Caenorhabditis elegans: one gene and its partner. The protein of the gene in region 1 interacts with the protein of each later gene in a pairwise test. Each region holds a gene or a part of one and is shown in the gene's direction. Other genes may lie near its edges.

Evidence for each region. The genes of interacting proteins can lie anywhere in the genome.
Region 2: the proteins of C27D9.1 (region 1) and oops-1 interact in a two-hybrid assay, tested with the Caenorhabditis elegans proteins (one large-scale study listed by BioGRID).

What each region holds. Positions count from the first base shown.
Region 1 is NC_003280.10:4,751,805-4,756,112, forward strand, and holds C27D9.1 (F-box domain-containing protein), read left to right. Parts: upstream 1-1,608; 5' UTR 1,609-1,651; coding exon 1,652-1,723; intron 1,724-1,776; coding exon 1,777-1,899; intron 1,900-1,945; coding exon 1,946-2,148; intron 2,149-2,192; coding exon 2,193-2,471; intron 2,472-2,518; coding exon 2,519-3,194; intron 3,195-3,288; coding exon 3,289-3,471; 3' UTR 3,472-3,799; downstream 3,800-4,308. Other genes in the region: F41C3.1 (Exocyst complex component Sec8), read left to right, coding at 584-685, 732-869, 940-1,005, 1,055-1,138; C27D9.2 (TransThyretin-Related family domain), read right to left, coding at 3,877-3,934.
Region 2 is NC_003282.8:5,811,021-5,816,074, reverse strand, and holds oops-1 (OOcyte Partner of Spe-11 (oops-1)), read left to right. Parts: upstream 1-1,932; 5' UTR 1,933-1,940; coding exon 1,941-2,009; intron 2,010-2,058; coding exon 2,059-2,241; intron 2,242-2,290; coding exon 2,291-2,419; intron 2,420-2,461; coding exon 2,462-2,564; intron 2,565-2,612; coding exon 2,613-2,896; intron 2,897-2,951; coding exon 2,952-3,146; intron 3,147-3,191; coding exon 3,192-3,458; intron 3,459-3,759; coding exon 3,760-4,134; 3' UTR 4,135-4,492; downstream 4,493-5,054.

The sequences.
Region 1 (4,308 bases):
ATAAAACATTTAAAATTGATTTTCTGAAAAATTATTCCAGAATGTACATACACTTGTTCAAACCAGGGGTAAGAATTGCCGTCCAGCAATTCTATAACATGAGCCAGTGTGACATGTTTTTCCAAGAATATAAATTTCTAAAAAAAATTTTCTTCATCTGAAAATAACCTGGAAATATTAAAAAAGTGCTCAAAAATGTCCAAATGTTGGAAAATGCCGGAAAAGTATTCTACCATTTGTGGGATTTTTCCAGCAAGTTTTTTTCCCGGCAAAACTTTATTCACAAGTGCACGAGCATCATTATATTTATTAAACAAAATTAACCTTAAACAACTTTTTAACATACCAAAGTTCAATTTAAAATTATCCTTCTTATCGACAAGAAAGGTGTTCAACTGATGTTAACAGAAAAACTTCACCATAGAACACACGAGGGGAATCATTGAAACAGATTGGCTGAGAACGTGTGGTAACAGGTTCCCAAATTGCGTCAACATCATCATAATTTGACAACAAAATTCTTCAGGTGATCACATGGCTCTCAACTGAGACCTATCATCCACCGGCGAAGCTCACACCAAATATGGTGGCGGAAATTCTTGAGCTTTCGGATATGATTGTACCACTGGAAGTTAGCCCGCTTTTCCCAACAATTGAGAAGCACATGATGGAAGAACTTGTTCAGGTGAGCTACAATATTCCAGAAACCCATATTGATGTAGTTTTTGCAGAACTATGAGGACTTGCACTACATCAAGCAGATGCTCCTGGTTACTCACAACAGCAGGATCACAACCTTGCTTGGATCATGTCAGGCCACAATCATCAGCTTTCACTTCGATGATTTCATCAAGGACATGCGGGAGAATGTAAGTTGTTACAGGAGAAACTTCTGCTTGCTTGCCTATCTTGAGAGTACTGAAAAGTTACATTTTACAGCCAAATCCAGCGTTCACAGAACTTGTTGAAGATCACGTTTGGCGCAGGGAACGTACTAGTGTGATGGTATACATTTACTGAGTTCGTGACAAGACCCAAAATATATAATTTTCAGAGCTCACTTCTCAAAACCTACGCAAAAAGTCAGTGTGTCCGTAGCTTCGTGAGAAAAGTGGCGCCGGTGGAGCAACAGGACTAGAATGTGAACTAGATTCGAGATTTATTTCAATAAAATAGTGTTCAGAAAATATGTGTTTTTTGTCACAGCTACATTTATCACAGCTACTTTCACTTTCTCAGAGTTTTTCATCTATGCTCCGCTTTTTTCTCACAGATTTTCATGTCACAAGTTCTGAAAACCACGCCCGTGGCTGAAGAAACTCCTAGACCACGCACTGTGTAGTCCTCTCGGACAAGTAGACCGAAAATTATTAAAATTAAATTTTCTTTCTCATTTTGTGTTTTTAAGCTAATTAGACATTTTTTCGATTGTTCTGATTTAAAAAAAAATTAAAAATCAGGCCGAAAAAATATTATACCTGAAAATTTTAAAAAAAAAGTGATCTCAAAATTGTTAAAACACATTTTTGATCTACCAGCCGGCTGCCAAACTCTGTCTTCCCGCAGCGTTCGGTATTATTAAACGTTCTTCTCTTTTTAGTTTTCTCCTCTTCACGAATCCATTAATTTATTTTTTTCAGATCCAACGGAAATGCAGCTGAGAAAGAAGCTGCACGAGGCAATTGTCGATGGAGAAGAAGATGACTGTCCGAAGCGCAAAATTGTTTGTTTTAACCAACAGTTTTGATATATAATTGATTATTTCTCATTTTGCAGAAAAAATTGGACATTCAAGTCGACGCTGCCACCAAAGTTTTCAGCAACCAGCACATTCTCCACGATATCATCGAATACACGGTTGATGGCGACAAATCGATTTTGGATAATTTGCGATTGCGGGTTTAGACAATATCAACACAAAAATAAATTAATATATTTCTTTCAGTTAGTGAGCAGATCATTCAACAACGTGGTTCTCAGCAAAGTTCGTGCTGAATTTAAAATGGTGCAGGTGTGTCCGTATCAGCAGCCGGAAGGAGCAGATGAAAAAGAGGAACCAGAATATGATGAGTCAAATGATATTGAAGATCGATCATTTATGATAAATGACCGGAGGACGTGGTTCTCCCAAGTGCCCAGATTCTTCGAGTTTGTGGAAATCTTCAATTCTTCAAAAATTTATATTTTTCCAGATTTTTAAATTCAGTGGCTCGAATTCGTGTTCGCGATCTCCTCTTCTCTGGATTCACTTCTCCAGATCAACGTATTCACGAGTGCATTTTATACAGCCTGCTCGACGGAAACTGGTATTCGCTGAATTCGTACAAAGGCGCCGACGAGCTGTGCAATGGATGTGCAGTGTGCTCGGAAATTGCTTCCCGTGTGAGCATCTACGGTCCTGTGCAATTTTGTACATTAATTAACCCGATTCTGGGAAAAAAATCGTATGAACAATTGATTGTTACCGAAATGTAATTTAAATTTTTCAAAGAGTCGTGAATTTTATACGAATTTTCAGATTATTGGCAGAGATTGCTCTTCATTGCGTTACAATGGTTGGAAGCAGAGAAGAAGCATTCAGTCGTCTCACCAAAATGATTACCCAAGATGTTAACTGTGATCAACTGGATCTTGTGTTCTCTGACAGATGTATGTGGTCAAAGGGTACATTGGCTCATCCTCGAGAGGTTATTGACAGGATTGTCAAAGCTTGGCGTGTTAAATCAATCAATATCCGTTTCATGACGGAATACTCTTCAATCGATCATGAGATGTGGTCGAATAAAAGGATCTTCACAGAAATGCGATTCGATGAGATGTTTGTGACGGATCACAATATTATAAGACCTCGTCACGAGCGGGATCACTTCGAACGCGTCGAAGTGGACATGCAGGCCGGCGATGAGATTGCCACGTGTTTTGCGGAATCGATGGGAATGTTCGAGCAGAGTGGGATGTCGGCAACTGCATTTCAGAACGTTTGCGCCAACGTCAAGCGTATTTTCCCAACGCAAGATATGTACCTCATTCTGCCGACTGAACTGGCTCACGTGGCTTCTGTCGAGTTTGACGGTTTCTGTAAGGCACTTCTGGAGTTTGCGTGGAAGGATGAGAGGACTGCTAGACACTCGAGACTCTTCTTCCGGCTTTACACATTCGGAATAACCGAGGAGCAAGTGTTGAGGCAAACAGAAGTAAATCAAATTTCAGATAATTGCTCTTAATTTCTTTGATTTCTAATTGATAATAATAATAATAATAATAATAATAATAATAATAATATTTCAGAATCAATTCAAAATCAACTGCCGACCAGTGGCTGCAATGCTGTCCGACTCATCCGTCCGACGCTCCTTCCTCCAGTGGCTACCGGGCTCCACGTCAACCTTCGACCGTTCACTCCTCTCCTTCACTGATGTCTGGAACAATTGTGTTCTCCATCTGGAAGTGTGCATTGAAGCCGATTGTTAAAGTTTTTCCCATCCTCTTTTAATCTCAAAACAGTAATTACCATAACTAGACCCTCGATTTTAACCATTTATAACTGATGATTTCTTTTTAATTTTTAAATCATATTACACCCAGCCTCACCCATATTAGAATGACCTCCCCCCCCAGCATAGTTCACCCATCTTCCTGTGAATAGTAATCATTCGTTCTCTGAGTATAATAAAACTTTATCGCCCCCTAAGTTTTCATTTTGCCCATCCACATTCCCTCTACTGATTGTTTATGAATTTGTCGTTGAGTTTTTATTTTCAGAATCAACTAAATAAATACAAATTTTTTATAAAAAATCTACATTTTATTTATACATTCTCAATAGAAACACCCGTAAGAACAAGAATATGTGTATGTGAACAAGAAAACAAAAAATTATACATTGCTCCATATTTTAAGATTCCGGAAGCGTTCGATCGTGTCCAGGAACATTCTAAAAATCGAAACATATTTGGGTCTCTACACGACATTTTTTCGTGAAGCAAAAACGTTCAAAGAACCAAGTGGGCGTGGCCAAACGAGACTCCGAATTCCGCTTGGCAGTTTACAGTGCTGTTTTGACATAGAAACCCCTATTTTGCCGCTTTTGTACCAATAATACCGTAACTGGTCTCGACACGACAAATTTTCATTAAATGCAAAATGTTGTGCGCCTTTAAAGATTACTGTAGTTTCAAACTTCTGTTGCTGTAGTATTTTTATGGATTTTTCATAGTTGTTCATTAATGAATAAACTAGGTAGCTATATATATAAAATGAACTAAAAAAAACTAAAATTTAAACAAATCTTGAGAAAAATTGAATAAA
Region 2 (5,054 bases), on another chromosome or scaffold:
CTAGTGAAACATGATAAAAATTATTTTTTTTAGAATCAAAAAGAAATTTCACATAATTTTGGTGGCTAGTGTTTGAAGGTCAACATGAGATGCCCTCAAAAAATTCAAAAAAAAAATCCAAGAAGTTGGAGAAAAAGGTTCTTTGTTAACCATACCCAAAATAGCCAGGAAAACCGAATTTCATACGAGTCTCTCCAAATAATTTCTAAAAAGATTGTTTGACATTTCTGTATCGAACATTTTGAAATAAACCATACAGCCTTTAAGAAAACCTAGTGAACCATGATAAAAAATTTTTAAAATCTGAAAGATGTTGCAGGTCAGTTATTTATATATTTCCTAAAGTATACAAAAGCCTCAATACATATAACCCTTTCTGTGTGAACTTAGGGTTGTCTAAATTTAACAAGTTTAAATGTAGATGTTAACAATAATATTCGTTTGATGTTGTTATAAATATAATTGACTAGTATATAATTGACTTTCGGTTATCATTCAAAAATTTAAGATAACTTAGTGAAGCAAGATATGCTCGAAAAGAATCTGGAAATAGATGTAGAAAAGAAATCAAAAAGTTTTCAGTATTTTTATTAAACTTTAAAAATAAATCTGAGAGATGAAAGAGTAAATCTAAACAGGAATCGTTTGACGTACATATGTAGATAAAAAAATAAAAGCAATGGTTCACAGTAATTTATGCCTTAAATTTTTTTCCCGTTTCAGATTTTTGATAACAACAAATATAATTGATTAGTCCAATTCCACTGATATCCATGGACACTTTTATTATAGGACGCTTTTTCTAAAACTATTAGGCAATTTGCTGAGTCATTGAAGCCAAGTCATTGCTAGAACGTTTCATCAAGCATCATAATTATATATTTTTTCATTTTAGGTTTCTGGCAAACTTTTTTTACTAAGAAGATTAATAAGGTTAGATAATAACAACTTTTTGCAGAAGCTGATCATTTTTTTGAATGTATTGAAATGAGTTCTCTATGTAATTGATAAAGGTTGCAGGCTAATGCCAAATTTTTCAAAATTTTAAACATTATTGCAACAAGAGCACATGTACAATAGTTTAAAGGAATGCCATAATCAGACTGTGTAAACCAATAAAAAATGCTACAAAATAAGTTTTCAATCAAATAAAACTGTAAATAAATTGAAGCCAATTCAACTTTTTTTTGTTTCCAAAAGGAGGTACAGTTGAAGGTCATTTTGAAAAAGAAGAAGAGAATATGTGTTTGATTGTTATTGTTCGGTTCGGCACCGCAAGAATGACAGAGAAAAGAGTGGAAAGTAATCGGGATCGAATGGCTAATTGAGGGAAATGATGAGGAGAAGGAATAATTGGAAAAATGAGAAAACTGTTGGAAAAAGAATAGGTTTGATGAGTTAATGACATGAAAGAAAATGTTCCGGATTGATGTATATATTTTTCCAGATGGCATGAATTTTGTCGTTCCTTCCTTGAAATGCGTAAAAAATTAAATTAGTTTTTGTGTATTTATCCATATTCTCAAGGGGGTTTGACCAACGTTTGCATGCAATTGCAGAAAAATTGAAATTTTCAAACGAGTACGGTATTTCACAGGGCGTGCATACACCGTTGCGGACTAAACATTGAATCGTACGACAGCAAGCGCCCGCTTTTCACTTGTATTTTTAAAACCTCATTTTCCACTTTTCAGCTGATTTTTTCACATTTTCCTTTTTTATAGCTTACAAAACGTGCTGATCTCAGTTAAATTTGATGTACAAACTCAGCTTTTCCTTTACAATCGCTCTGAAAACTGAAAATTCGAGTTTGACCCCTTTCTCACCCGCCAATTCCTCATTGTACTTTGATTTTGATTTTTTGCTCCGTTCTTTTCATTTTTCTTCATTTTTAAGCATAGTTCCCTTATTTGATCAACCTCTAATGTTTACAGGTAAAAATGGAGAAGAACGAGAAGAACGGAGTGTTCTCGCGAGTAAGATCTCGTTGGAGAAGCATTTTCTCAAAGGTTTCGTGTCGTTTTACAATAAATCGAAATTAATTTGTGTTATTTTCAGAAAGCTAATCCAGTGAAACTTCGCGATTGCAACCGGCTGACTTTCGAGCGAATTCTCTCGGATCCCAACGAACAAATTGGCACAATAGTGGCACAGGCGACTGTTGAACCGATCACATTACCAAACGGCGGCGGAATTGCACTTATTCAGGAGACAACGCTTTATGAAGAAGATTACGGGCTTGTTAGTGTTATTTATCTCATTGAACATTCAAATTTCAATGATTTTCCAGGAAGATTCATCCAATTTCCCGATAATCTCCGAAACCGCTCAGAGCTTGCGTCGTCGCATGCGAAGACTGTCCTCTGGAGATCTGAACGTTATAAGAAGAATGACAGAAGAAATAGATTTCGATTTGAAGGTTATTTTCGAATGATTAATTTATTTTAATCCGCTCCCAAAGTTTCAGAATATCATCTACGATGGAAACGAGATCACCGGAGAAACCGACGCTGATAACGGGAACGATCGTGCTTGTTTCAAGCCGGGACCCGATTATCCAATTGGTTTTCTACTATTTTAAATGATTTATCGTTTATTTTATTGAATTTCAGACCAACAGATGCTGTTTCTGAAACAATGCATCAAAAAGATAGACACACGGCCACCGAACATGTATTATTTGACAAATGGCTGGTCAGTCGATAACTTTGAAGCGCTTTTCAAGTATATGATCCGGTCTGGAGAGGACTGTTCAAGGGATACTCTTCTGAGAGTTGAATTCAGAGATTGTGTTGTCTCACTGAAATCTTTGTACGACTTTATTGAAGAATACGCAACATTCAAAGGAGTTAAGATGCATTCTGACTACGTCTACGCTATTGTTCACTCGAGAAATGTAAATTCAGCATAGTTTTTTTTTTCTAAAAAATAGTTATTTAATTGATTTTCAGGAGAAACTTGAGAGACGACTGCGAGGCGCCATTGATTCATTTATGGAAATTGAATCGAAAATTCGTCAGGCGAGAATATCCTACGTGTCGTCGTTCACAATCAACTCACCGCACACTCCGAATGTGTCAATTATCGTGAAATTCTGTTGCCTGAAACCGTGTAACTCAGATGCCAAGACGAAAATGAGACAAATTGTGAGAGATTTTCAGTTTTCGATAAATGTATTTCTCCTTTTTCAGTCTGTTCAAGTCGACCACGTGACAGGGCGTTCTCGAATGTCACTTCCAGATGTTCGACAGCACGAAGGACTCGTTTGTGAATGTTTGGGTGATTTCTCACTGATAAGACATCGGCCGACGTCTGTTCCAGTCACAAAGATTCTGGATGAACATCCGCCGCTGATTGTTGACGAAGAAGTTCGTTTGAAGAGCTCTTATCAGTTCAATCCGGTCACTGGAGAACCGATTCCCGACGATGAGCAGCAGCAAGAACAAACTGAGATTGAGGTTAATAAGAAAATGTGAATTGTTGATTTACGCATCTTGTGTAGTCCCCGAGGAGAAGAATCAATTTTGCAAAGGAGATTACAGTAGCTGGCTGAAATAATTGATTTCCACCTGTTTTCGTTGATTATTTTTGATTTAATTTATTTATTTTAAGAAAAAAACCAAAAATAGTGCCAAATCAAACATTATTAGGCAACGAACACGATATTTTCCCCCGCTTTTCCATTTTTATTGGGTTTTACAAAGTAAACTTCCAGAAATCTGTTTAAAAAAGTTTTAAAATTGAAAAAATATCTTTCAGGCAAGTATCGAGGATCCACTGGAAATCAATGATTTCGTGGAAATGTTCCCATTAATTTTGGTGCTTCTCGAAAAAGCTGGAATCCAGGAACTGGAAGACGGCGATGCTCCAGAAAAATCGGTTTCAAAATATCCGAAAAAACGATCGATTGTCGATGGAGCGTCATCAGAAACATGTGAAGATACACAATCGGTTGGCTCGTCTGAAAGTTCTGAGCCAAGATCTCCAGAATTTACTGAATATTCGGAATCGGAAGACACTGCTGCGGATTCGGAGACTTCAGATTCCGAGTCTTCATCTGAAGATGAGAAGGAGAACATGAAATCTTCAATTAAAGAACTCGAATTGATCAAGGATGCTCCAGAGGATCTTTAAATTCTTCTTCATTCCGTTAATGTTTATTCTAACTTTATATTTATTGTTATAGAGAGAGCCACAATTATTGTTCTTATTGTACTATGCTTAAAGTTGCCAATTCATATGTCATTTATAACCCATAATAGTGTCTCTAGTTGCTCCCCCCACCATCTCGCTTTATTTTTTATTTTTTCTCATAATTTTCGTGTACCACGGGTACTTAGAGGTTCATAAATTCGATTATTTCTTGCCCCCTGATCCCCTTATACATAATCCAATCATCTCCCGTACCACACAATCGTTGATAATTAACTAATCATATCCTTTTGATTTTGCTCTTTTTTCTATGTTAAGTATGAAATTTTTATGAACCCTTGTTAGGCGTCCTCTAGAGCACAGATGGCGCCACCAATCTCGGTGATTTTTCGCCTGTTCAAATATGCAAATTTTATTCCAATGTCGGCATTGTTTCAATTATATTGTCCCCTGGTTTTCCAAATGACACGGACGATTGCGTGTCGATGAGTGGAAGCGAATCGAATCAAATTCGAATAATGATGAGCACATATTTCTTTTCGTCATTCCGTCCACAGAGAAGAAGCAGTTTAATATTGAATGGATGGATGGACACAAGTTGTCTGTCATTCAATGGGAAACAGACTATGAATAATGAGATTTTGGGTATCAGGTTAGATGAGAAGAAGAAGGCAGCTGATTGACGAGGTGCCGACTGGGAACACGTGCGGGAAGTATGAGATGACAAGAGATGGTGACAGACGGTTGGAATCATGACATATGTTGGATTTATTTACTTTTTGGATGTTTTTTTATAAAGATCAATTCGAAGAATTTTGATTATTGTGTTTCCAGTAGATTTTGACATGCCTTCTTAAAGACGCTAGGGTTTATCCAGATGGGTCTCGACGCGTAGAAAAGTT